Linked DNA regions of Macaca fascicularis. The protein of the gene in region 1 interacts with the protein of each later gene in a pairwise test. Links are inferred from orthologs where the notes say so. Each region holds a gene or a part of one and is shown on either strand. Other genes may lie near its edges. The genes, in order: LDOC1, NRIP1, RAB29, TNNT1, FOSL1, BYSL and LATS1.

What was found.
Region 2: the proteins of LDOC1 (region 1) and NRIP1 interact in binary tests that used the Homo sapiens proteins (3 or more experiments, as listed by UniProt). The two-hybrid records come from large-scale screens. The link is inferred for Macaca fascicularis from reciprocal best matches to the Homo sapiens genes LDOC1 and NRIP1.
Region 3: the proteins of LDOC1 (region 1) and RAB29 interact in binary tests that used the Homo sapiens proteins (3 or more experiments, as listed by UniProt). The two-hybrid records come from large-scale screens. The link is inferred for Macaca fascicularis from reciprocal best matches to the Homo sapiens genes LDOC1 and RAB29.
Region 4: the proteins of LDOC1 (region 1) and TNNT1 interact in binary tests that used the Homo sapiens proteins (3 or more experiments, as listed by UniProt). The two-hybrid records come from large-scale screens. The link is inferred for Macaca fascicularis from reciprocal best matches to the Homo sapiens genes LDOC1 and TNNT1.
Region 5: the proteins of LDOC1 (region 1) and FOSL1 interact in binary tests that used the Homo sapiens proteins (3 or more experiments, as listed by UniProt). The two-hybrid records come from large-scale screens. The link is inferred for Macaca fascicularis from reciprocal best matches to the Homo sapiens genes LDOC1 and FOSL1.
Region 6: the proteins of LDOC1 (region 1) and BYSL interact in binary tests that used the Homo sapiens proteins (3 or more experiments, as listed by UniProt). The two-hybrid records come from large-scale screens. The link is inferred for Macaca fascicularis from reciprocal best matches to the Homo sapiens genes LDOC1 and BYSL.
Region 7: the proteins of LDOC1 (region 1) and LATS1 interact in a two-hybrid assay, tested with the Homo sapiens proteins (2 studies listed by BioGRID and IntAct). The two-hybrid records come from large-scale screens. The link is inferred for Macaca fascicularis from reciprocal best matches to the Homo sapiens genes LDOC1 and LATS1.

Annotation. Positions count from the first base shown.
Region 1 is NC_088395.1:147,494,918-147,499,175, reverse strand, and holds the start of LDOC1 (protein LDOC1), read right to left. Parts: upstream 2,801-4,258; 5' UTR 2,692-2,800; coding exon 2,251-2,691; 3' UTR 1-2,250. UniProt on the Homo sapiens protein: May have an important role in the development and/or progression of some cancers.
Region 2 is NC_088377.1:32,171,500-32,175,509, reverse strand, and holds the start of NRIP1 (nuclear receptor-interacting protein 1), read right to left. Parts: upstream 2,801-4,010; 5' UTR 2,620-2,800; intron 2,112-2,619; exon of another isoform or gene 2,044-2,111; intron 1-2,043. UniProt on the Homo sapiens protein: Modulates transcriptional activation by steroid receptors such as NR3C1, NR3C2 and ESR1. Also modulates transcriptional repression by nuclear hormone receptors.
Region 3 is NC_088375.1:63,614,038-63,618,280, forward strand, and holds the start of RAB29 (ras-related protein Rab-7L1), read right to left. Parts: upstream 2,801-4,243; 5' UTR 2,704-2,800; intron 2,423-2,703; exon of another isoform or gene 2,418-2,422; 5' UTR 2,299-2,417; coding exon 2,175-2,298; intron 1,879-2,174; exon of another isoform or gene 1,734-1,878; intron 1-1,733. UniProt on the Homo sapiens protein: The small GTPases Rab are key regulators in vesicle trafficking. Essential for maintaining the integrity of the endosome-trans-Golgi network structure.
Region 4 is NC_088393.1:63,012,151-63,015,650, reverse strand, and holds part of TNNT1 (troponin T, slow skeletal muscle), read left to right. Parts: intron 1-1,571; coding exon 1,572-1,635; intron 1,636-2,166; coding exon 2,167-2,283; intron 2,284-2,517; coding exon 2,518-2,595; intron 2,596-3,500. UniProt on the Homo sapiens protein: Troponin T is the tropomyosin-binding subunit of troponin, the thin filament regulatory complex which confers calcium-sensitivity to striated muscle actomyosin ATPase activity.
Region 5 is NC_088388.1:8,507,024-8,510,523, reverse strand, and holds the end of FOSL1 (fos-related antigen 1), read right to left. Parts: intron 2,121-3,500; coding exon 2,013-2,120; intron 1,292-2,012; coding exon 881-1,291; 3' UTR 188-880; downstream 1-187.
Region 6 is NC_088378.1:129,638,889-129,642,388, forward strand, and holds part of BYSL (bystin), read right to left. Parts: intron 709-3,500; coding exon 570-708; intron 207-569; coding exon 73-206; intron 1-72. UniProt on the Homo sapiens protein: Required for processing of 20S pre-rRNA precursor and biogenesis of 40S ribosomal subunits. May be required for trophinin-dependent regulation of cell adhesion during implantation of human embryos.
Region 7 is NC_088378.1:57,660,849-57,664,348, forward strand, and holds part of LATS1 (serine/threonine-protein kinase LATS1), read right to left. Parts: intron 3,011-3,500; coding exon 2,828-3,010; intron 2,631-2,827; coding exon 2,524-2,630; intron 1-2,523. UniProt on the Homo sapiens protein: Negative regulator of YAP1 in the Hippo signaling pathway that plays a pivotal role in organ size control and tumor suppression by restricting proliferation and promoting apoptosis.

The DNA.
Region 1 (4,258 bases):
TACTCACCCCTGTCCCCACCCTCCAGAAACAGCTATCCTAGGTGTGAGATATAATTCCTACCCTGAACTTTGCCTGTTCACCACGTAAACAGCTTTGTTTCTTGCTTCATATAAGACTTCAAAAAGTAAATGGGGTCTTATCATGCTCTCATTTCCATTATCGCTGAACCTGCTCTGCTCCTCTTTACGCTGACATTTTCCTACTAAAGCCACGCTCAGAGCCAGAGACTTGCTTCCTGAGAATTCTGTCCCCAGGCCCAGGAGTAACAGCCCATGGTTTACTGAGTGCTCACCATGTAGCAGGGAAAGTTCTAAATGCTGCATGGGTATGATCTCATATAATCCACACCTATCAGGTGATTAATATGAAGCCCCATATCTCATTTAATCAACACTGAGGTTTACCAGTACAAATGAAATATCTTGCCTCAAAAGGCCTTAAACAGTAAGGAAATGTGTTATCTAAATTAATTAAAGGTTATAAAGTGAAGTTGGCTCCAGACATGGTACAATGAGGGAGGACATCTGGACAGATATAAATGAGAACTCTGAACCCCTCACATCCTCCTAAACCTTTCTAAGAGGTAGTCCTGTCAAATCCCCAACCAAGCTGCTCTGCATTAAACATTTCAATGACTTAACCTGGGGCAATGGCCTCACACAGGTATGCAGTTTCTTCTCAGCAGCCACCCCCTTCACTGCTCTGAACCCTCCAGGCCCAGAGATCTCAGCATAGCCCCCAGATAGCAGTACAAAGTCTGATTTAAGAGATAACCAAGCATCTTGCTAATTTCCATAGGGAGGAATCTGGGACACATCTATGAGTGGAAATTCTAAGGATGTCTGCCCAAGGAGGATGAAATGTTTGTTAAGATCAGGGTATATCTTTATGGATGCACTTGCCCAGGATCTGGGACTTAATGTTAGCTAGAGCACCTGTAAGTGACATGTTGGCTATTTGGAGTTTGAAAGTGACAATGTACTATGTTGGCTCTCTGGAGCCTGAACTCAACAGCTGCATATAGGCAATAAGGATTAAGGGGCAGAACTTCCCTGGCACAATATTAAGGAATCCAAAAGCTCAGAGAATTAGGAGCAATACATATATATGTCCTGGTTTATGCCTGTTGTTATGGTCTAATTATTAATACTGCCCTCTTTGCCATCTGCTCAGCCAACCCTTACCCATGCCACCCTGGAGGACCCAGAGAACACACCCTTTGCCAGGGCTTTAAGAAATGCGTTGGTGAAGGAAGCATCAGAACCCTGACAAAGCCCTGAGGTAGCTGTCCCCAGCAGCCTGGAGTTGACAGCAGGGATTCCTAGGATTGGTTGTATTCCCTGATTTCCATGGGAATAACGGTAGTCACAGTGACAGTTCTAGAGGTCAGTGATAGCACTTAACTATTAAAAGACAGTCATTTCGTTTTTTAGTGCTTGATATTTATTGAAAATAATGCCAATGCTTTTTCCAGGTAGTATTGAGGAGCTGGGCTGAGTGCTTGTTTGTTTTGTTTTTAGTACTATTTGTCCAAATGCATACATCTGTGGGACTGCTGCAATTTTGAAAGAAAAATGACAGCTGTGTAAAACCAGTGCATAGGAAAAAAGAAATATCAACAATTTGGCTGTCAGGCACACCGCGCCCCTGCAGCAATCTGGTATGGCAGGGGAGGACACTCGGAGTAGGTAGAAAACTAACCAGGCTGAATGATTGGCCTCTTCAGGGGTTGGTGAGCTGTCCAAATCAATGTCCGAAGAGGCAGAGCCAACTCTGGCATTTTCCAGGTTGGTCCTGATCTCGAAAGGCGGTAGTCTGTAGGTGGGATGTGGTGAGTGGATGTGAAGTGGCAGCATAGTTCTCTGGGCAGATGTAAGCCTGGCAGCAGGGCAGGTGGCAGCAGCAGGGCTATGGGTGGTCTGCGCAGTTTGTAACAGGGGCCTGGCCAATAGCTGGGGTTCAGGACACAGTTCAGATTAGCAGGGGAGGGATCCCCGGGATGGCCAGGGTAGATGACACTTCCAAGCACTTCCGAGTGAGTGAGGCTCCAGCCCCAACCCCAGCAGCAGGTAACTGGAGCACTATTCCTGGAACAAAGACAAGCACTACGGAGAAATGAAGAAAGAGCAGACGGGCGCGGGTAGGGAAGGGGACCGGAGGGCAAGGGGGAGAGCAGTGGCTCCTGGCGGGGTGAGGGCTGCGGGGAGGGGGTGACGGCGTGCAGGGCCCTCCCCCCGAGGCCCGAGGGCCTAGTAATTATCCTCTTCGTCCTCGTCGTCGTCGTCTTCGTCGTCATCCCAGCCAAAGCACTGTTTCATCTCATCGAGGAAGGCTCGGTAATCACCTAGGATGGGGCTATCCATCTCGATGTAGGGCACCACCCACTCCTCGGCTTCCCCGGTGAGGAGACTGATTAGGAATGCCACCTTCATGGCGTCGTTGCAGAATCGGTTCTCGTTCACGAGCATGTAAGACGCTGTCTGCACGATAAACTCGGGGAGCCGGGAGCTCTCGCCATTAAACGTTTCGGGGAAGGGCACCGGGCAGCTCGGCGGACGTACCTGGCGCAGCAGGCTGGCCCTCTCGCACACCAGCAGCCGCAGCTGTTCCATGAGCTGGCTGTTCTCGATGGTCAGGGCGCGGTGCCGCATCAGGAGCGCGTGCAGCAGCAGCACCAGCTCATCCACCATTGCGAACAGCCTGGAAGGACAGGGCTCGGCTCGGTTCGGCTCGGCCAAGGTGCGCACGGAGGCCTCGCAGGAAGTGCGTGTCCACGGAGACGCTCGATGGCCAGGGGCTGGGGGCGGGGGGCGGTGCGCGCCGGGGTCCGGGAGGCTACGCAAGCTCCGCCCACGAGGCCATTCGGACGGATGGTGCGCCGGCGCGGCGCGGGAGGGGCGTGGCCAGACTGGGGGCCGCGGCTGCGTGGGGGCGTGGCCGGGATGGGAAGGGTTTAGACAAAGAGGGCGTGGCCAGGAAAAGGATGCACTGGGTCGCTGAACCACCGGCTTGTGGTAGGTCTCTAGGCGGGCAGTTAAAGGCTGGGGTAGGCTCCCCTAGCTCCTGGTTGTGGGGCCTGCGTTAGCAGAGGACCTGGCGAGCGCTGAGTTTGGTCTCAGAGAAGGCAAATTTGTTCAAACTGAAAGGATTAGCCACCCTTCTACCTAGGCAACTCTCACAACTCAGTTGTTCCTTCGTGGGTCTGTGGCCACTAGATTCTCTTGGCGTGATGTTTTATTAACACATTTTCTTTCTTGTTTAAATCTCACTCAGAGAAGTATTGACACTGCTGGCTGCACTGTGGGACTCACACTTCCTTTTAGGATCATGAAGACCTTCAGGGGTTCCTGCCTTTCATGAAAAAGGCAGTATTTAAACAGTGACTTCTTTAGTAGGGGAATAATACGGCATACTCCCTTAAAACAAACAAACAAAAAAAAACAAACCTAAGTAGCAGGATATAAAGAAGTTTTGCAAAATGAGCATCCAATAATCAATTGCAGGCATCCCACATATCTTTGATTCTCTATTTCTTGTCCTGCTGTTAGTGCCTTTGGCCACTGGGTTTTATTCTGTACTTAAAAATGAACTGTTAAGATGTTTGTGTTTTTAAATAATTTTGTTTTTCTACTTTAAACGGATCCCTGATCCTAGAGCCGACAGGAATTGTTGGCTCTGCTTTCAAATATATTGCCAATTCAGTCATGACTTGTCATTTCTACCACTGCCACCCTGATCCCCAGCCTTTCTCACCCAGACTGCTGCAACTAATCACTTAGCTTTCACTCTTTTCTTCCTATAGTATATTCTCCATAGAGTAGCCACAGGAATCCTTTAAAACAAAAATTAGGGCCGGGCGCGGTGGCTCACGCCTGTAATCCTAGCACTTTGGGTGGCCAAGGAGGGCGGATCACGAGTCAGGAGATCGAGATCATCCTGGCTAACAGGGTGAAACCCTGTCTCTACTAAAAATACAAAATATTAGCGGGGAGTGGTGGCAGGTGCCTGTAGTTCCAGCTACTCAGGAGGCTAAGGCAGGAGAATCGCTTGAACCCGGGAGGCGGAGGTGGCAGTGAGCCGAGATAGCGCCAGCGCACTCCTCCAGCCTTGGTTACCAAGCGAGACTCCATCTCTAAAAAAAAAAAACAAAAACAAACAAACAAACAAACAAAAACAGTTAGATCCCTTCACGCCCCTGCTCAAAATCCTCCAGTAGTTTCACCTCAGAATAAAGAGCAAAGTTGCAGCCAAGGCCTA
Region 2 (4,010 bases), on another chromosome or scaffold:
ACTAATTGATTCTCCTTCTTTGTCTCTAGGAACTATGCCCAGGCAGAAAAAAAGTTACTATAGGCGATGAAGCCAGCGCTCCCCTGAACCAAATAAACCCTATCGACATTACCAAACTGCTGGGCAAAAGCAGAGCAATTCACTTACTTCGAAGGTGAAAACATTTCAACATACACCAGGCGGCAACCGACACTTACGGGCTAAGCAGATGAAACACCATTTGTTTAAAAAGTCTATTATCTCACTATCTCTTCCACAAAGGTGGAAAACTGATGATTAAACATTGAATAATGCCACCCACTTACTAAACCTATGATTCACTAATAAGCATTCAATGCAATTCATAACTTTAAAGAATGAATTACCGAAGCCCCTTGCTTCACAAATTTTCCCAAGAAACAGAAAGAGCATTGATCACCTATAATCCGACAACCATTTTTTACTACGGACACCTACAGATGGCTTCTCTTCCTCTAACGACACAATTTCCTTCACAATCCCACATGTAATCATTTACAATACCAGAGACAAACTCCACCTCAGTTCCACCGGCCGAGTTTTTAAAAATCCTTGTGCCTAAGAACGTCTTCTTTCCCCCAAAGTAAAATGTGCCATTAAAAAATATTTTTAAAAAGCAAAAGTGCTTATCATTCCGTACTTCTTTTACTACCTTCAGCAGCCAATTACTGACGTGATAAAAGGTAGAAACTCCTGGAATGCTTCAGAGATCAACATGTGTCACAGACTCCCAGCCTGTCCGCCTCTAAGACACAGTTGGTTCCTTTGTTCCTTCAGACTGAACACCAACTCCTGATTAAAATTGGGAAACTACTTTGGAAGGGATGTGAGGGTCTGCAGAATACGTCCACGAAAACCTTCATAAAACAATATGCAATAGTAGTAAGGTGGGGACAGCAGAAGGGAGAAAGGGCAGCCTCCCGGACTTCCACGGGGCTCACCCTAAATGGGGGCCGGCCCCTGGCTCCTGGTAAAATGATGGCTGAGGCCTCGGGTCCGTGAGCCACGCCATCCGGGGGGGACGGCGAGTGCGGGCAGAGCGGGCCTGGGGTCCGTTGGGGGCCGGGCGAGCTGTCCGTTTTCCTATTCACTTTCCCAGCCGGGTATCCAGCAAGCACGGAGCAGGCAGGCACCCAGGCGAAAGGCGCCGCCCAGGATCCGGCTGGACAGCAGGATCGAGAGCGGCGCAGCGAGCGGTGCCCGAGGTTCGCGACCAAGAGGGCAGGCGAGCGAGGGGCAACCCCGACCCGGCCCCCGAGCTCCAGTGTCCGACCCCGCGCAGGGGCCACGCGACGGCCGCCCCCTTGCCCAGAACTGGCACGGACGGGCGGGCCGACCCGGGGCCACTCCACAACTTGCCGGCCCGCCGCCCCGGCCCCCCGCGAGAACCCGGGGAGACTCGAACCAGGCAGCAGAGGCAGGATTTCCCCGGAAACGCGCCCTCCACGCCGCCCCGTGCGCGCCCGCGGCCGGCCGCGCTGCCCCCGCCGCCCCGACGCCCCCGCGGCCCTGCCCGCCAAGCCAGCGCCGACGCGGGCCGCGCTCCGGGGCCGTTTCCGGCGGCGCCGGCGGCCGCTACTCTGGGCGCCCTGGCCGCGGCCGTCACTCACCCCAGGCCGCCGCGGCTCCCAGCCTCCGGCTCCGTCAGGCTCGGTCCGCGAAGGCGCCTGCCGCCCCGTCCTGGCCCGGCACCCCGGCGAGCTCTTCCCTCCGACCAGCGGCGCTCCCGGCGCAGCGGCGGACGCGAGGCCACGGGCGGACGGGCGCGCGCGGGTGGCGGGCGGGCGTGGGGCCGGATCGTCCCTGCGCCTCGCCGCCGCCTCCTCCGCCGCCGCCTCCCGAGTTCGGGGCTCTGCTGCAATGTCTGCGAGGCTGACTTTGAGCGCCTCGCTCGCCGCCCGCCCGCCCGCAGCCGCGCTCCTCCCTCCGCCGCCGAGTCCGCCGCGGCCCAGTCCCTCCCCTCGCCGCCCCACGCCATTCAGCTCTTCAGCCAAGTTTCTTAACCCTTTTCTCCCCCTCCCTCCCATTGTCAGCCGGTCAGGAGGAAGCCGTGCGGGTCCGGGCCGCTCGCGGTAGCTGCGGAGCCCCCTATGGTTCGTGGATTTCCTCCTCGCCTGCTTTCCGGGTGGCTCAGACGGGGCTGCAGGGCCCGGAGGCAGCGAAAGGACCGCGTCCCCAAGAGAGGGGCTGCTCGGCGCGCCCTGGCCGTCCTCCGGGCTCCCAGCTCTGTCCAGCCGCCCGCGACCGCTGCAGGCGCCTGGACAGCTCCTCCTGGGAACCCGGGGAAGCGCTCTCGGGACCCAGGCCGAATGCTCCCGTTTGGGCAGAGCCTGGGGACCGGGGCACCCCAGACGCCCCAGGGTCCCCGCCTGGGTGCTGGCGCCTTAAAAGTCTACCTCCTCCCCTTCACCCCACAACACGCGCTCCCTGGGCCCCCTTTCACCCCCCACCCAATTTCTATCTCCTTGTAATCTGTGTGTCCTGCTTTAATCGTGGGGGGCGCGGGCGCGAACTCTGGGTCACTTTGACCCCACGCCCAGCACGTAGTAGGCACCCAGCCCTCATGTGGAGCGACTCCGGGAGGAAAACTAGGAAGGAGACCTGAGGAGCGCCCCGCTCAGCTCCCTGGACAGACGTAGGACCCAGGAGCAGGGTTAATCCTCGGCTGCTTTGTCACTGCGAAGTCTCCAGCGGAGTCTGTCAGCCAATCTACATCATCCCCGGGAACCAGACAAGGCAAAAGGAGCAGAGCTGCTACTTCTTCAGCAGCTCTCCTCGGTTCAGTCTCCGAATAAGAAATAACAATTACATCACGAGGCCGGGGCGGCAGCGCGGTGGAGCCTCTTGGTTTCCTGCAGCCTAATCTCGCTGAACCCGCCTCTAAATTGGGGGGGCTACAGACTGCTGAAACGAGAAAGTGGAGGGAGGAGAGAGTCATACGAAACCATAATTTCCCCTTATCCGTGTATTTGCTGTTTTAAAAATCGTATCCTCAGCGCTCCCCAAACATCTCCCTAGAACTATTAACACCCCCTCAACACCTCCCCAGATGTCAGGTTTCTTTTTGACTTGAGCATCCAGCATTTAGTAATTCGCCATGAAAAAAATTACCAGGGGAAACCAATGTTGTTGCTGAAATTGTTTTTGCTTGACACAAAAAAGCTAAAGTATAGCTTAGTCTCACCCGAAATTCTGAAATGGCATGACTGTGTTAAAACACTTATTACATAAGACAAATGAGCCGATGAGGCACTCCATTCTTACATGTAGGTTTTTATATCCTGAAGAATTTGATAGCATTTGAAAATGGAGTTGCTAATGCGCTTAAAAAACAACAACTATCCAAGTCATGAAACTGTATTCTATGCCTGTTATGTAATGGCTGTATTGTGTACTGCAAATTTCACTTAACCTTTAAAAATATGAATGAGAGTTTTAGAATACTGTCACAGTCTTGAAAGTGAAAGCAATTTTTCAAATTAATGCTTAATAAATTCAGCACCTAGCACAGTGCCGGGCACATGGTACCGATGTTTTCCTTAGTGACAATGGCACTTTTAAAAACAATTATTTTACATCACCCTACTGATTGAACTATGCAATCTGTTGCCATTTTAAAAAGTTAAACCTCATATAATACCATATTATTTGCATATACCACAATTCAAAATCTGCTGTAGGCAAATTAGTAAAGGCTGCTGTTTTTTAGTGCATCATTTATTCAGAATTGATACAAAGCAAACCGTTTCAATGATGACCAGCGTAATTGGAGCTTGGCCCCTTAGTGGGGGTCAAACTTTTTTTACGAAAATTATTTTTAACCATAATACAAAGATTTTTCTACAATGTATTGCAAATGTTTCTCTTAAGCGGTTTATTGAACATCATTTAGCATTTTCTTGACAATTCAGTGTCAATTTTATTAAAAGTAATTGTTGTAGTAGGTTGTAGTGGATTCAGGAAATATATCCAGTTCCTATTCTATATTCTTC
Region 3 (4,243 bases), on another chromosome or scaffold:
AAATCAAATAGGCAGTGACAACCCGATGGACACACAACTCGAATCCCATGTTTATCTTTAAGCCCTCAATTCACTGAGATGAGTCCACACATGTGTATTAAGTGTGAGATGGATGGTTCATACTCACTCTCCAAAGGGGTTTCCAGCTTTTACTCTCCTGTCAAGCTCATCTGTTTGCTACTACTTGTCTCCAAGACTGGGGGTGGGAGTAACTATGAAAACAACTCTCATTCTCAGGTTAAACAGTTTCTGGGAGATTTAGGGGGTTTTCTCAGGGAAGGGGTGATGGGGGAGAAGGGGGAAATGAGACAAGTGTGGTTGTTTCTGTATCTTCCACATTCAATTTCACTGCTGGTTTCTAATCAAATTGTATTATGAAAACAACACACCCTGGGGAACTCTACATCCACCATAAGGTTGCAGGTATTATCTTGGGCAAGAATGGAATAAACGGAAAAGGTCCCAGAGGAGTCCCAAGAAGACACTGTGTGGATGTTGCTGAAGAGTCCTGCTGGAATCTACCACAAAGTCTGCAGATGCTGAGACTCCTTAAGGCTAAGTATTCCATGGGGAAAAGCTTTTGGCTAAGGAGAGAAACACAGTAATTTCTGAGGTTTGGAAATATTATCTTTCACATCTGTAACAGGAATCAAAACTAAGGGAAATTTAGACTAAACACTGAAAAAAAAAATTAGCCAGAGTCAATTATATTCTTTGTTAAAGGAAAACTACAGCAATTGTTAAAAATTAACTATTAATAGAAGGCCAATTTTAACCCAAATCCGTGAAATAGGGACCCTTATATTATTTAGGAGTGGAAGGGCAGAGAGGTCAGGATAGTGTGTCTGAAACTTTGAACCTTTAATTTTGCCAGACTTTAATGTTTTGTTCCTTTGTTTTTGAGACAGGGTCTCACTCTGTTGCCCAGGCTACAGTGCAGTGAGTGGTGCGAACGCGGCTTACTGAAGCTTCGACCTCCTGAGTTCAAGCAATCCTCTAGTCTGAGTTTCCGGAGTAGCTGGAACCACGGCTACTTTTTTCTTTAATTTTTGTAGAGGTGGGGTCTTGCCATGTTTCCAATGGCTGCTCTCGAACTCCTGGGCTCAAGCAATCCTCCTGCCTCAGCCTCCTAAAGTGCTGGGATTGCAAGTATGAACCACTGCACTGGGCCCTACTGGGGGTTCTTAAGGAGAATGTTTTAATTGCAATGTGAATGCTTAATTTCTTTTTAAACTTCCATATGAACAGGAGCACACATTTTCACTTTTTCCATTGGTACGTTTTTCTCCCCTTAAAACAAGTTCTTTTAAGAGAGAAAATTTTAAGTTACTCTCCCCCATCACCAGCTCTTCCTAAATACCTTCTAATTAACAATAAGGCATTTCTACCTCTGAAAAAATAGTTGAGTAAAAAGGCCATACCCGGGAAAGAAAGGAATGAACTCAGTGTTCTCTTCCTCCCTACCTTCTTCAGTTTGAGGAAAAAGTGGTGGGAAGATAGGTCAGAGAAGTGGTATATTTCACATTCTTCGAAGAATTCCTTGGTTACTTTTATTTAAGCAATCAACGGACAAAAACACAGCTCATCAGCCCTCATGGGCATCTGACTGCGTAGCCAAGGGGCTCGTTTGGGGATTTTGTGTCTTCCATCCCACCCACAGCCCCACAACAAAGCTAGAGTCCTTCAGACCAGTTCCGCTTCCTGCGTTCTCCCACTGAAGCCAGGTTAAACACCTTGCGGTTCCTTCCTCAACAGAGGTGCAGAACTACAGCCCCAGCCGGCACCTAACCAGGAGGCCCCCAGAGGATCTCAGCTGCTTCTGCTGATTGGAGAGATGCCAGACAGCTGAAAGGCTGGAGACTTGAGTTCACAGTGCGCCTGCAATAAACAGCAATTGCTTATCCTCATCCTCCCTTCCCTATTTCTCATCTTCAAGCCTTTGTTCTTACCTTTCTCCTGGCAGTGGGGTCAGGTTGGGAAAAATCTAACTGGGGAAACTCAAGAGAGGCTTGTAAACGAAACACCCGGCAATTACACCATTTAGGTTCCCAGACAGTACTTCCTGACCCGAAGAAGGACCCAACAACCGACAGCAAATCCGGATCCCACTTGGGTCCCCAGCTCGAGTCCGCGGTCGAGGCCTCCTCCTCCCCCTCCCCCGAAAGACGTCTCACCTCCCACCGTGGACTTGTAGTGTTTGCTGAAGCTGTCCTGGGAATATCGCTGCACCAGCGACGTCTTGCCCACTGCGGCGTCCCCCACCACCAGAACTTTGAACAGGTGGTCGCGGCTGCCCATGGCTAGCGGGGCGTGCGTTTTAGGGAGGCGGGAAGTGGGGGAGTCGCTTGTTTTAACCCCTTTGGCTCCGGACCCTCTTCAAACTGAAGTGAGGCATTCCCACCCACCGCCTGTGTGGGCTGCTCTGACGAGAAAGCAAAAAAGGAAACTTTGCACTCAAACTATACGTGCTTCCTCCCCCGGCGGCCGCAACCTGGGTGGGGCGCAGGGCGCAAGCTCCGAGCCCCCGGCTGTTCGCACCTTCCCCACCCCCTCCTGGCCTGACTGCCGAGAAACGGGACCAGGCGCCTCGGAACCTCCCCACCAGGACTTTCCCGGAGCGGCTCCGAGTCAGTGACTGAATCCCAGTCAGCTCATTACACCACTGGGGCCAGATGATGAGGACCCTCCCCTTGCAGCACATACCAAATTGTCAGGAAGGAGCAGCCGGTACCTTTCTATTCCCTAGACGTCGTCCCGCGCCTCTCTCTAGCCTTCCTCCGCCAGCGTCACGTGCAGGGTTGCCTGGAGCACTACATTCCCCAGCTTTCCTCGCGGTAAAGAGAACCAGCCGAGTGCGGAGGCTCACCCGCGAAGCCTCCTGGGAAATGTAGTGTATTCTTTTTTTCGTTTTAAGCCAACCTACACAAAGTTTCAAGGCTTCAAAACTCCTTCAACAGTTCGGAATCTTATTCTGAAACAATTCTGGGTCAGTTAAGGTCACTTAAGAGGAGATTTGTGCAACGTGATCTCACTGGCCTGAATCCATCCCCAGATAGTCTTCTCCTGTCTTTAAAGGTTTAACGGAGTTAAGATTAAAACTTATTTCGTTAGTAAAAGTCCAAGCCTCATCCATAATGCTCCAAGTGAAGTCCATTTCCTATTCCTTCAAATAGATAGACAAGCCCAGGACTTTGTGAAATGACTCATATTTTCTGTATGAACTTGCCCAATACCAGGCAAGTTCAGGAAAACTTGACCCAAGAGACCATTCTTTGGAAAAACATATGCCAAAAGTTACAGCATTTAATATCCAGCAATAACAATAAAGATAGACAGAAAACAAGAGACAGTTCCCCATTCATACTTCTGCAATGCCTATTCTAACCATACTACTCATGTATCACTTGAGGTAGAGGCTAATTGAAATACACTGGGAATCCTTCTCGATTCATTGTGGCTGTTGTTAATAGATAATCATAAAACTAGTGTTTGGCAAATAATTTTAATTTTTCAGCCTGAAACTTTACTGACCTGCCTGTCACTTAGGTAGGAGTTGGCAGGACATGAGCTCAATGGCAAGCAAAGAGAGCTCCATTTTCTAGACTTTTTCTAGAAACAGAAGAAGAGAACCAGCAGGGCCATGGGAAAACAGCCCAGGACCAGACACTATGAAATCTTACCTAGGTCTCTTGATAGAGAGGCTATCACTTATGTTTTGTGGGGAAAGAACATCAGCGTGGTTCACAATATATTTTGCCCAGAATGTTTGTTACTCAGGTACAGGAGGTTAGGCCAGGCTACTCATCTTTAAGGATCCAATTTTCTCTGTTCCTATTCGTTTTGACATATTTGACCACTCCTTGACATTTGTTTCCCTTATGCCTTCTATGACACTGCTCTTTCTTTGTCATCCCCCTACTTCTCCGATGATTATCCTTTTCTTTCAGGTTTCTCGCCATCCCATTTCCCTCTAAGTATTTCCTGAAGCTCTATTCTTGGTCTTTGAGTCAATGATTCTATAAACTCTTCAATGAATTGTCCTTGGTGTCAAAGATCTGTCTTCACTTTATTGTTCTTTATCTCTGATCAGTGATACTCAGCTGCCCAAAAGGTGCCTCCACTTGGATGTCCTGCCACATCCTTCCTCTTACTACATTGCCACAAAAATAGCTCCTTTTCTCAGCTTCCCTATTTCTGTCACTGGTCTCATTATTTCTTCCCTCCATGTAGACTTCAGATTCTG
Region 4 (3,500 bases), on another chromosome or scaffold:
TGGGCGACAAGAGTGAAACTCCATCTAAAAAAAAAAAAAAAAAATGGAGGGAGGGAATGGACTGACAGGGATTCCAAGGCAAAGGGACAGGATTTGGGGATTGTTGGGGCAAGGGGAGGGAAGCAATGGGGGCAACCCCTAAGGGTCTCTTGGGCTGGGGAACAGAGTGGACAGTGGGGCTGCCATCTCCTTCTCAGAGAAGATGGTGAGCTCCATCAGGACGTCGTGTGTGGGAAGGTGGGAAAAGTTCAGGAGATACCTGCTAACTTGAGTCTGGGGCTTAGGAGAGAGTCTGGACCAGAGACACTTGGCGAGTCCTCAGCAGTTGACAATACCAGAAGTCATTGGAGTGAATGGCATTGATGATGAGAAAAGGGAAAAGGGAGGCTCCCTGGCAGCTCACGGGAGTGTGGGGGGCCAGGAGACAGGGATGGAACAGCCCCGGGGGTGGGAGGCAAGCCAGTATTTATTCCTGTAAAATATGGTGAGCTGTATTGTCTTCCCACACATGACGCCCCGAAGGAGCTCATCAACTTTTCCAAGATGGAGATGGTAGCCCCACTGTGCACTTGGCTGCCTGGCCCAGAGACCACTGGGGATTGTCCTCACCTCCTCCCTCCCCTTGCCCAGCGACCCCTAAGTCCTGTCCCCTTCATCCTGGAATCGCTCTTGGTTGTCTCAGAAACCCAGAAAAGAGAATTCCAAGGAAGTGGCAGGAAATCAGAGCAGGCTGAAGGCTGAACCTCAGAGCAGCACCACCCAATAGAATAGATGGCAAGACACACACATCACTTACAATTTCTTACTAAAGGCCGGGCACGGTGGCTCACGCCTGTAGTCCCAGCACATTGGGAGGCTGAGACAGGCAGATCGCCTGAGGTCGAGAGTTCAAGACCAGGCTGGCCAGCATGGTGAAACCCCATCTCTACTAAAAATACAAAAATTACCCAGGTGTGGTGGCAGGCGCCTGTAATCCCAACTTGCTAGGCATACCTTTTTTTTTTTTTTTTTTTTTTTTTTGAGACGGAGTCTCGCTCTGTCACCCAGGCTGGAGTGCAGTGGCCGGATCTCAGCTCACTGCAAGCTCCGCCTCCCGGGTTCACGCCATTCTCCTGCCTCAGCCTCCCGAGTAGCTGGGACTACAGGCGCCTGCCACCTCGCCGGGCTAAGTTTTTGTATTTTTTAGTAGAGACGGGGTTTCACTGTGTTAGCCAGGATGGTCTCGATCTCCTGATCTCGTGATCCGCCCGTCTCGGCCTCCCAAAGTGCTGGGATTACAGGCTTGAGCCACCGCGCCCGGCCTGCTAGGCATACTTTTAAAGTACAGCAACAACATAGGAAAATTTAATTTTCATAGCACAGTTCTAAAAATCTGTTACATAAATTTTTATCATTTCAACATGTAATCAGCATAAAACATGATTCTGTGCGTTTCACTGACAGCCTGCCTCAGTTGGGACCCTCCACGTTCAGGGGGCTGGCGGCTACCTCACCAGGCAGCGCATCCCGGAGGTGGGAGGTGGCTCAGGGAGGTCGGGCCACTCATGGTCTCTATGTTTCCGTCCACCCAGCCGCCCCGTGGTGCCTCCTTTGATCCCGCCAAAGATCCCCGAAGGGGAGCGTGTTGACTTCGATGTAAGTGTCAGAGACCCCTCCCCAGGCGCAGTTGCTAGTCTTCAAGGGGCTTTTGTTTCAATCATGAAAAGGCGCCGGGCTGGGCCGCGGTGGCTCACGCCTGTAATCCCAGCACTTTGGGAAATTGAGGTCAGGAGTTCGAGACCAGCCTGCTCAATATGGTGAAAGCCCGTCTCTACTACAAACACAAAAATTAGCCGGGCGTGGTGGCGGGCCGTCTGTAATCCCAGCTACTCGGGAGGCTGAGGCAGGAAAATCGATTGAACCCGGGAGGCGGAAGCTGCGGGGAGCTGAGATCGCGCCATTTCACTGCAGCCTGGGAGAAAAGGTCCCCACTCCCCACTCCCCACTCCCGTCTTTGGGCAGCTCTGTCTTTGCAAGAGCTGATTAGTGTCAAACACGAGGCATTGCTGCCACCTGCTGGACACCACCTGGGAAACGGTCCAGTTCACCGTCCTGCATGGGGGAGGCGCTGGGAGGCCGCTGCCCTCTCCAGGGTCTCCCAGGACTGACTCCCCGTGTGTCCTGCAGGACATCCACCGCAAGCGCATGGAGAAAGACCTGCTGGAGCTGCAGACGCTCATCGACGTGCATTTTGAGCAGCGGAAGAAGGAGGAAGAGGAGCTGATTGCCTTGAAAGAGCGCATTGTGAGCCGAGAGTCCGGGTGCCCCCCAGTCTTCCTCTCTCCACGTGGATCCCTTGCATCTTGGGAGATGCAGATAATGGTTTTCCTTCTAGTACAGAGCTGAGCCTGAGGCTTTCGGGAATTCATCCAAGTCGGTGGCCACACTCCAGCCTGTTTATCTCCACTCTTCGCCTACTCTGGGGAGGGATGACTGGGGGTACGTCCCTGCACCTCTTTATTCTTCTCCGTTCCCCAGGAGCGGCGCCGGTCGGAGAGAGCCGAGCAACAGCGCTTCAGAACTGAGAAGGAACGCGAACGTCAGGCTAAGCTGGCGGTGGGTGCCTGCCCTGCCCTGGGAGTCCAAATGTTACTTCTTCAGCCAGATGCCCATTTTGTTGTTGTTGTTATTATTATTACTATTATTATTATTATTTGGAACTGAGTCTAGCTCTGTCACCCCGGCTGGAGTGCAGTGGTGTGATCTCAGTTCACTTCAGCCTCTGCCTCCCAGGTTCAAGCAATTCTCCTGCCTCATCCTCCTGAGTAGCTGGGACTACAGGTGCTCCCCATCACGCCCGGCTAATTTTTGTATTTTTAGTAGAGACAGGGTTTCACCATGTTGGCCAGGATGGTCTCGATCTCCTGGCCTCGTGATCCACCTGCCTCAGCCTTCCAAAGTGCTGGGATTACAGGTGTGAGCCACCGCGCCCGGCCTATTATTATTATTATTATTGTTGTTGTTGTTGTTATTTTGAGACAGAGTTTCACTCTCGTCACCCAGGCTGGAGTGCAATGGCGCGATCTCGGCTCATTGCAACCTCCGCCTCCCAGGTTCAAGCAATTCTCTTGCCTCAGCCTCCTGAGTAGCTGGGATTACAGGCCTGCGCCCCCACACCTGGCTAATTTTGTTTTTTTAGTAGAGACGGGGTTTCTCCATGTTGGTCAGGCTGGTCTCGAACTCCCGACCTCAGGTGATCCGCCTGCCTCAGCCTCCCAAAGTGCTGGTATTACAGGCATGAGCCACCACACCCGACCTATTATTATTATCTATGTATTTATTTGGAGGCAGGGTCTTGCTCTGTCACCCAGGCTGACGTGCAGTGGCGTGATCCTAGCTCACTACAGCTAGGACCTCCCGGGCTCAAACGATTTTCCCACCTCAGCCTCCAGAATCGCTGGGACTACAGGCATGCGCCACTCTGCCCGGGTATTTTTTTTTTTTTAATTATTATTTCAATT
Region 5 (3,500 bases), on another chromosome or scaffold:
AGGGACGGTAAGCCTCTTCGCTTTTACCCCAGAGGACTCTCTCCTCTCATTCCTGGAGATGAGGCCGAGCGGATGTAGCCCCACTTGTCAGATAAGACAAAGTCCAAAAATATCAAATAATTTGTCCAAGGTCATGCAGTGAGTCTGTAGAGCTAAGGCTGGGACTTACGACTCAAATACTCTCCCATTGGCTTTGGGGTCCGGTGAGGCGCTCAGGCCACAGCTTCAAGCCTTTTATTCCATTTTGGTAGGTTTGTATAAAAATACTCTCTTTAGGAAAATAAATAGCAGCTGCCCTCGCTGTGGAGGCTTGGATTCCCTGGAGCTGAAGGCTTCTCAAAGCTGAGATCGGCAGATCTGCTCATCACAGAAGCCGTGGGCACCTCCTGAGTTGTGCGGTTCAGGAGGGGGCGGCAGAATGGCCTGGTCCAATCACCTGCTGCTGCTGGCAGTGGGGCTGGTGAGTTAGTGTTCTAGGTGGGCAAAGTGGCACCTTCTGTCAGGGGGTAGGATTGGGTGGATCACAGGAAGAGGGTGATGGATAGTGTGGCAGTGACCTGGAAGGGGTTAGGGCTCCAGAGGACCTCTAAGGATCTACAAAGTCTCTGGGCTCCCGGGAATTCTCTGGCACAAATGGGGAATATTTTGTATCTGATTTAGTGCAAATTGTGCTAGAGAGGCCAGCTCTAGAGAAACAGTGGGCAGCTTTGGTGGCCCCAAGCTGGCTCTACTGTGAAGCACAATATGGTCAGTCTCATTAGAGGGATGGAGAAGCTGCTGGAGTTGGATGTGGGATACTGTCCAGGCCAGCTGGACCGGTGGGGGAAGGGGAGGAGACGTTGGTTAGGGTGGCACCTGCAGGGTGTAGGGCTCGGGTGCCTCACAAAGCAAGGAGGGTTGGAGAGCCGAGGGGGTCAGAGGATGGGTCTCCGCTGCTGCTGCTACTCTTGCGATGAGCTGAGGCACAGGGCTCAGGAGTGCTGGGGTAGGTGAAGACTAGGCTGGGGGTGAAAGGAGTTAGGGAGGGTGTGGTCATGAGCGTGGGGGTGTGCAGTGCCTCAGGTTCAAGCACAGGCCCTGGGGAAAGGGAGATACAAGGTACAGGGCGGCAGGGGGCTGGCGGGCTGCTCGTGCCACTGGTACTGCCTGTGTCCCCCTCCTTGGCTCCTTCGGGGATTTTGCAGATGGGTCGGTGGGCTTCCAGCACCAGCTCCAGGCGCTCCTTCTGCTTCTGCAGCTCCTCAATCTCTCGCTGCAGCCCAGATTTCTCATCTTCCAGTTTGTCAGTCTCCTGTAGAAGATCAGGAGAGGAGTCAGGAAGGTGAGGGCTGAATATCCTGGAGCCTCAGATGTTTGGACTCAGGGTTCTGAGGAGCTGGGGTTGGGTGGGGAGAGAGGGGGGGCAGTGGAGAGTCTCCAGCAAGTCTGGACTGCAATTCCCATGAGCCCCTGGGAGAAAATGGGCACGACTCCCATCAGGCCCAGGCGTTTTAGGAGATTGCTGGCACCGGGCGGTGACTCAGGCCTGTAATCCCAGCACTTTGGGAGGCTGAGGCGGGTGGATCACTTGAGGTCAGGAGTTTGAGACCAGCCTGGCCAACATGGCGAAACCCTGTCTCTACTAAAAATATAAAAATTAGCCGGGTAGGGTGGCAGGTCCCTGTAGTCCCAGTACTCAGGAGGCTGAGGCATGAGAATTGCTTGAGCCTGGGAGACAAATGTCACAGTAAGCCATGAGCCGAGATCTCGCCACTGCACTCCAGCCTGGGTGACAGAGCAAGACTCTGTCTCAAAAAAAAACAAGGAGATTGCTGGCTGAGCCTCAGCTCTGCTCTGCCTCCAGTGAGACATGCTGCAGCCAGTTTTTAATCAATTTTTCCTCATCATTTGCCCAGGACTGCCCCTCGGACAAGGAGCTAGGATGGTGGGGAAGGGGCTACATATACTGGGGCTTTGGGGGCTCCTGGGAGACAGGGTCCCTCAGAGTTCGGTGGACCAGGGCTGGTGCTCACCGCCTGCAGGAAGTCGGTCAGTTCCTTCCTCCGGTTCCTGCACTTGGCCGCAGCCAGCTTGTTCCGCTCGCGCCTTACTCGTCGGCGCTCCTCTTCCTCAGGGCTGATCTGGGGGTGAGACTGGCAGTGAGGAGGACCCTGGGCCATTGGTTGCCTGGAACTCGCCCCTCACGGTGGCCCAGTGGTAGGACCCTGAGAGAGGTCATGGCAGGGCCCCCTCAGCTAGTGATTTAGGGATCACTGCACCCAACCAGTTCTCTGCACTGAGGCACTGTCTGCTTGGATTGGTAAAATTTCCTCCTCGCACCTAGCTTTAGTGCACATTCCTCTCCCATAATGCCCTCCCCTTCCACAAACCCTAACCCTCCTTATCTCTCAGGACTCAACTAAGATGTTCCTGCCTCCAGGAAGCCCTCTTATTCCCCAGCCAGAAGTGACCTTTCCCCCTCAGCGCCCTCTTTGCAGGACCCTCATCCTTTTGGATCTCTGGACAACCAAGTCTCCTCTTCCAAGAGCTGTAAGCACTAGGAGGGGATAATGAGTGCTGCTGATTAAGTTGCAATGTGTTGGAAACCTACTATGTGCCAGCCAAGTACTTTATATAGATTCTTGTTTTTTCACTGAGAATATGCAAAGATTTTTTTTTTTTTTTTTTTTGAGACGGAGTCTCGCTCTGTCCCCCAGGCTGGAGTGCAGTGGCGCGATCTCAGCTCACTGCAAGCTCCGCCTCCCGGGTTCACACCATTCTCCTGCCTCAGCCTCCCAAGTAGCTGGGACTACAGGTACCCACCACCTCACTTGGCTAATTTTTTGTATATTTAGTAGAGATGGGGTTTCACCATGTTAGCCAGGATGGTCTCTATCTCCTGACTACGTGATCCGCTCACCTCGGCCTCCCAAAGTGCTGGGATTACAGTCGTAAGCCACCACGCCCGGCCTTTTTTTTTTTTTTTTTGAAACGGAGTCTGGCTCTGTCGCCCAGGCTGGAGGGCGGTGGCCTGATCTTGGCTCACTGCAAGCTCCGCCTCCCGGGTTCACGCCATTCTCCTGCCTCAGCCTCCTGAGTAGCTGGGACTACAGGTGCCTGCCACCACACTCAACTAATTTTTTGTATTTTTAGTAGAGATGGGGTTTCACCGTGTTAGCCAAGATGGTCTCGATCACCTGACCTCATGATCTGCCCACCTCGGCCTCCCAAAGTGCTGGGATTACAGGCATGAGCCACCGTGCCCGGCCTTTTTTTTTTTTTAGACAGAGTCTCACTCTTTCCCAAGCTGGAATGCATTGGCCTGATCTCGACTCACTGCAACCTCCATCTACTGGATTCGAGTGATTCTCATGCCTCAGCCTCCCAAGTAGCTGGGATTACAGGCATATACCACCACACCTGGCTAATTTTTGTATTTTTAGTAGAGATGAGGTTTCGCCATGTTGGCCAGGCTGGTCTTGAACTCCTAACCTCAGGTGATCCACCCTCCTCAGCCTCCC
Region 6 (3,500 bases), on another chromosome or scaffold:
AGGAAAGCCTGCCCGTCCCAAGCCCAGCCTACACCTATAGACCCAAGGCCTGCAAATCCCCATCTACTCTACCTGGTGGCTTGGTACATGGCGGCTGCAGTCCAGGCCTCAGGCTCTGTGACGTAGAGGATTTGTTCCCAGTTGGAGAGTGCAGGGATGATCTTAAATGCCTTAGGCAGTTTTCCACTGCGGTACTTAGATAATACCTAGGGATGAGGGAGGTAAAACAATCATTGTCATCCACATATGGCAAGCTTGCTGTGGGCTAGGAACTTGTCTGGGTGCTTTTAATATATTAACTCATTTCATCCCCACAATAACCCTTTAAGGAGGTGCCATTATTATGCTCGTTTTACAGATGACCAGTGAGAGTTCCAGTAACTGACCCAAGGTTGCCAAGTCATTTACAGGCAGAGCAGGAATCTGAAACCACACACTCTGCCTCTTAGGTCTGTTTTCTACTGCCATGACTTCTTTAGTATGAGATGCAGGCAAAAGGCAAAAGCCTGTGGCGGGAGCCCACAGCCCCCAAAGGGGTCTTCCACTGTGGCTCCCCTCTCAGCTCTTACCTCCCGGACCCCCCTGTAGACTTCTAGGACCCGGGGGTCCAGCTGGGGCATAGGGAAGCCCGACACCTCTGACATGACTGTCTCAACCTCTGTCTGCTTCTCAGTCAGCTTCTCCATGATGATGTCAGCCAAGGTGCGCCTAAGAGGGGAAGTGCCAAGGGGAGGGGAGAGAGGAAGGAAGGAGCACTGTGGTCACTGTCCAGGAAGCTCCAGATTCCCCACAGTCCCTTGTGAGCACTGACATACTGCGATCCTGCTGGGATGCGCAGCTCAGAGTTCCCTCTCTGTGCCCATTCATCCACCACAGACAGAATCACTGCAGGGTGCAAAGGAACTGAAAGTCATTCCATTTAGGACAAAGCTGGCAGTTGTATGGAGGTTATTATGAATCTCAATTCTGAAATCGGTCTGCGCAGGTTCAAATCCTGGCTTACCCACTCCCTGTATGATCTTGGGCATGTTACTTTACCTCTCTATGCCTCTGTTTCCTCATTTGTAAAATAGGGATAATAACGGTACCTACCTTAAAAGATTAATGGAAGGATTAAATAAGTTAATGTCTGTTCATTACTTGCAACGGTCAGTACACAGCAGTGTATCTATGGAAGTATTTCTAAAACTGATTATGTTCTTTTCAGCCTCCTTAAACACAGTATTGTTGGGTATATCAAACATTATCTTAATGATTCAGCATTACTATCACCTTGAGCTGTCATATAATACCAGTGCCTTCAGAGGCTGCTGAAGTGTATTTATTTATTTATTTTTGAGACAGAGTCTAGCTCTGTTGCCCAGGTTGGCATGCAGTGGTACCATCACGGCTCACTGCAGCCTCTATCTCTCTGGCTCAAGCGATCTTCCTGCCTCAGTCTCTCAAGTAGCTGGGACCACAGGCACATAGCACAAGGCCCAGCTAGTATTTTATTCTTTTTTTTTTTTTTTTTTGAGACGGAGTCTCGCTGTGTCGCCCAGGCTGGAGTGCAGTGGCCGGATCTCAGCTCACTGCAAGCTCTGCCTCCCGGGTTTTTATGCCATTCTCCTGCCTCAGCCTCCAGAGTAGCCGGGACTACAGGCGCCCGCCACCTCGCCCGGCTAGTTTTTTTTTTTTGTATTTTTTAGTAGAGACGGGGTTTCACCGGGTTAGCCAGGATGGTCTCGAACTCCTGACCTCGTGATCCGCCCGTCTCGGCCTCCCAAAGTGCTGGGATTACAGGCTTGAGCCACCGCGCCCGGCCGTATTTTATTCTTTTGTAGAGATGGGGTCTCCCCATGTTGCCCAGGCTGGTCTCACACTCCTGGGCTCCTGCCTTGGGATCCCAAAGTGCTGAGATTACAGGTCTGGGCCACCATGCCCAGACTGACATGTATTTAAAGCTCCTCAGTTGGGTGCAGTGGCTCGTGTTTGTAATCTCTGTACTTTGTGAGGCTGAGGGAGGTGAATCACGTGAGGTCAGGAGTTTGAGACCAGCCTGGCCAACATGGTGAAACCCCGTCTCTACTAATAAAACAAAAAGTAGCCAGGCGTGGTGGTGTGCGCCTGTAATCCCAGCTACTCGAGAGGTTGAGGTTGCAGTGAGCTGAGATCACACCACTGCCCTCCAGTGTGGGTTACAGAGTGAGACCCTGTCACAAAACAAAACAAAAAACAAACTGCTCCTCTTTTCTGAGGTCCTACTCAACGCCAGGCACTGAGTCTGGGACTTTTCAGTCCCAGAGTCAGTGCAACACTTATAGGACATGGAAACTTACGCAGACATGGCAACTGGGCCTCACAGCCGTCAGGTGGGGTTAAGAGTCAAACTCAGGTTTTTGAAAGTCTTAAGTTAAGATGCTTTATAGTACCTTATAATGTGCCCCCAAACTAAATGGCCTCTGTTGAATTCATGTGGATCTAGGCTTGCTTTCTGAAGACGCCAGCTATCATTTCTTACAACTGCCAGAAGTTCTGATTACTTCAAGGAGCTTGTCTATTCTATTTACTGCAAGCTGGAAAAGCATTCTGCTAAATTTGTCAGCGTTATCAGTGAAGTAGGAGTTATGAGGTGCTGAATGAGAACCTGAGAGGCTCTCTGGTGGGACAGGCCCGAGTACGTATTTTGTGACACATATTTCAACTGTTAGGCATCAATCTGGGAGAGGAGCTCATTTTTATTTCTTCATTCTGCATTTTCAAATAAGTTGCCACAGAATTTATCAGCCTCCTTGTGCTTTTACAGTACAATTAGCAATGAGAGATGCATTAACCCCAAACAATCTAAAGTATCAGGGACACCATTATGTTAGTATCACAGGGTCAGAATGAACTGGTTGAGGACCCTTATCCTAGACTCCACTCCCCACGGCCAAAATTTATGGGCTCAGGAGTTTGACCACAGGCAGTCTAAATGCCTGCATGTTTTGGAGCCAGCATTTATTATAGATGGGAATAAATTAGTGGTCCTAACTGGGAGCAGTTTTGCCTCCCAGAGGACATTTAGCAACGTCTGATGTCATTTTTGGTTTTCATAATTAGAGGGAAGGTTGCTACTGGAGCCTAGAAGGTAGAGATCAGAGATATCTACTAAACATCCTACACTGCACAGGATAGCCTCCACACACATATAAAATTACCCAGCCCAAAATGTCAATAATGCTGAGGTTGAAAAACCCTGGCTTAAATGAAGCTTAGGATATGAACACTTGTCCAAGGAAGTTGAGCTTACCACTAAAAAAACCAAGAATACCAAAACCAGATGCAATAGGATGGCTCTCCCCAGAGGTGTAAAACGGGCCTGGAGCTGTTTCCCTGGCAACTGGGCAGTTGTACAATAAATGGACAGAAGGATACAATGTTTTCTGAGGCTGGGTCATTCCCACTCACAGTGGTCTGCTGAGGATGGGCCAGTTTTGTCAAGGTGGTCCCCTACAACTAGCAACTCCAGGGCCCTTTCC
Region 7 (3,500 bases), on another chromosome or scaffold:
GTTTTGATGAACTTTTTTCTTTTATGGGTCATGATTCTGGGGTCATTTCTACGAACTCTTTACCTAACCCAAGCCCACAAAGATTTTCTCCTATGTTTTCTTCTAAAAGTATTATACCTTTAAGTTTTATCTATATATGTGACTCAATTTGAGTTAATCTTTGTAAAGGTGTGAGGCTCAGTTTTTTTTTTTTTTTTTTGAGACAGAGTCTTGCTCTGTCGTCCCAGGCTGGAGTGCAGTGGCACGATCTTGGCTCAATGCAAGCTCTGCCTCCTGGGTTCAAGTGATTCTCCTGCCTCAGGCTCCCAAGGACCCAGGATTACAGGCATGCACCAACCACACTTGGCTAATTTTTGTAGTTTTAGTAGAGACGGGGTTTCACCACGTTGACTAGGCTGGTCTCAAACCCCTAACCTCAGGTTATCCATCCGCCTCGGCCTCCCAAAGTGCTAGGATTATAGGCGTGAGCCACTGCACCTGACCTGATGTTCATTTTTTTTGTATATGGCTGACCAGTTTTCTCAATACCATTTGTTGGTGATCTGTCTGCTGCGACCTTGCAAAGTGCTGGGATTACAGGTGTGAGCCACTGCACCCATTCCAGCACTTTGGGAGGCTGAGGTGGGTGGATTACTTGAGCCCAGGAGTTTGAGACCAGCCTGGGCAACATGGCAAAACCCTGTATCTACAAAAAAAAAAAAATATACAAAAAATTTTAAAAAAAGAACCTGTGGTCCCATCTACCAGGAGGCTAAGATAGGTTGCTTGAGCCAGGACAGAGGTTGCATGAGACAACATCATGCCACTGCATTCCACCCTTGGTGAAATGTTTTGATCCTATCTCAAAATAAAGTGCTGGGATTACAGACATGAGCCATCATGTCTGGCCCTCAAAGAATAATTAAGAATGATCAGGAGGCGGAGTGCAGTGGCTCATTGGGAGGCCGAGGTGGGTGGATCATGAGTTCAGGAGATTGAGACCATCCTGGCCAACATGGTGAAACCCCGTCTCTACTAAAAATACAAAAACTAGCTGGGTGTGATGGCGCGTGCCTGTAATCCCAGCTACTCGGGAAGCTGAGGCACGAGACTCACTTGAACCCAGGAGGCAGAAGTTGCAGTGAGCTGAGATCACGCCACTGCACTCTAGCCTGATGATAGAGCAAGACTCTGTATAAAAAAAAAAAAAGAGAGAGAGAGAGAGAGAGAGAACGACCAGGAGTTAATTAGACTTCAGAAAGGAGGAAGGGTTATAGAAGAGAGAGATGGAAGTAGGACATTCCAGACAGAGGGAATGGTATGAACGGAGGGCAAATTCCAACTTTAACCCATGGACAAAGGAATCACCAAAGGGTATTAAATCAGACAGTGTATGGTCAAAATTGTGGGTAGCTTCTCATTTAAGTGCCAGAGGTATTTTCAAATGGGGATATAAACATTTGTTTGTAGTTTGCATAGAAGGAGACAAAGCCAGGAGGCAGTAGGTGACAAGCAGTGAACAAATCTTCAAAATGGACTAAAGGCTTGTTTTGTTTTGTTTTGTTTGAGAAGGAGTTTCGCTCTTTCGCCCAGGGTGGAGTGCAATGGTGAGATCTTGGCTCACTGCAACCTCTGCCTTCGGAATTCAAAGGATTCTCCTGCCTCAGCCTCCCAAGTAGCTGGGATTACAGGTGTCCGCCACCACACCCAGCTAATTTTTGTATTTTTAGTAGAGACAGGGTTTTGCCATGTTGGCCAGGCTGATCCCAAACTCCTGACCTCAGGTGATCCACCCGCCTACACCTCCCAAAGTGGTAGGATTACAGGCATGAGTCACCGTGCCTGGCCTAAAGACCTTTTTGAGAATGATATATGAGTATGGTGTATGAGTGAGGGGGGATACAAAATTATGGGGATATGGCATCATGGAGACTGGAGTTCACACATGCAATTTTAGTGAGTTCATATACCCTTACAAGTTCATTCTTTTCCTTTTTTTTTTTTTTTTTTTTGAGACGGAGTCTCGCTCTGTCGCCCAGGCTGGAGTGCAGTGGCGCGATCTCGGCTCACTGCAAGCTCCGCCTCCCGGGTTCACGCCATTCTCCTGCCTCAGCCTCCCGAGTAGCTGGGACTACAGGCGCCCACAACCGCGCCCGGCTAATTTTTTGTATTTTTAGTAGAGACGGGGTTTCACCGTGGTCTCGATCTCCTGACCTTGTGATCCGCCCGCCTCGGCCTCCCAAAGTGCTGGGATTACAGGCGTGAGCCACCGCGCCCGGCCATTCTTTTCCTTTTTTAAATTAAACTTTTTTTTTTTTGTAGAGATGGGGTCTCACATCATTGTCAGGCTGATCTTGAACTCCTAGGTGCAAGCAATCCTCCTGCCTCAACCTCCCAAAGCACTGGCATTATGGGTATGAGCCACTGCACCCAGCCCAAGCTCATTCTTTAACTCCAGACTAAAATGCTCTAAGTACTAATAAATAAAGGTCAATGACGTAGCAACTTTGTGAGAATTCTTTTGATATAGATGCCATACCTTACCTTCATTTGTGTTTCTAATGGTGTTTGTGCCAAGAAAGGAGGTTGTCCCACCAACATTTCAAAAAGAATAACACCAACACTCCACCAATCACACAACTGTGTGTATCCTAAAATAAGATACCAAAGTTAGTTATTTAGAAGCACTTTAAAAATGCTCAGAATACAATAAAAATTAACATTAAATCACCAATTTATACTGTAAAATTAATACTTTTATTATAAGCCTGAAAAATAAGGCATATTCTAGTGTTGTTTTGGCTGGCCTAAAGGCCTACTGAGATTTTATATGAAAGAAGTGCTTTACCTGTTCGTAGCAATACTTCAGGTGCAATATAATTGGGAGTCCCAACCAAAGAATGTGCTAAACATCGCTGGTGCTGGCGTGCAGCTCTCCGCTCTAATGGCTTCAATCTGTCTCCACATCGACAGCTTGAGGGATCCCCCCATTCATTACTGAAATCCATGCTATCTTGCCGTGGATGGTCACCTGCACAACAAAAGAATAAATAAATAAAATCAACAAGGACAACAGTAAACCTGAAGTCTATTTAATCTTCTGACATCATGGTTTAGGGTTAACAACATTCTCCCTTGTGACAAACTAAGACACAATGTATGCCAAATCACGGATGGTGTTTATTACCAATTACAGCCTGCTTTCTGAGATGTCAATAGGAATGATTTTACACTTAAAAAAAAAAAAAAGTCTAAGATTTAGCAATTTATTCAATGTTAAATAACAACAATATGAGTCATGGGGAGATTAAGAGTTTGTTATTTAGCCCACTCCCTGGTACTACTCTGGACAAACTTTCAAACAAATTAGATCAGTGTTTCATTCAATAAATGACAGTGATAAGACAAAGCTCTGGTTACATTCTAGTAGGAAAAGAAACAAAACAAACAATTACACATATAAGGAACAGTGACATACCCTACACAGAGAATCAACACAGGGTGATGTGACAAATGTGACT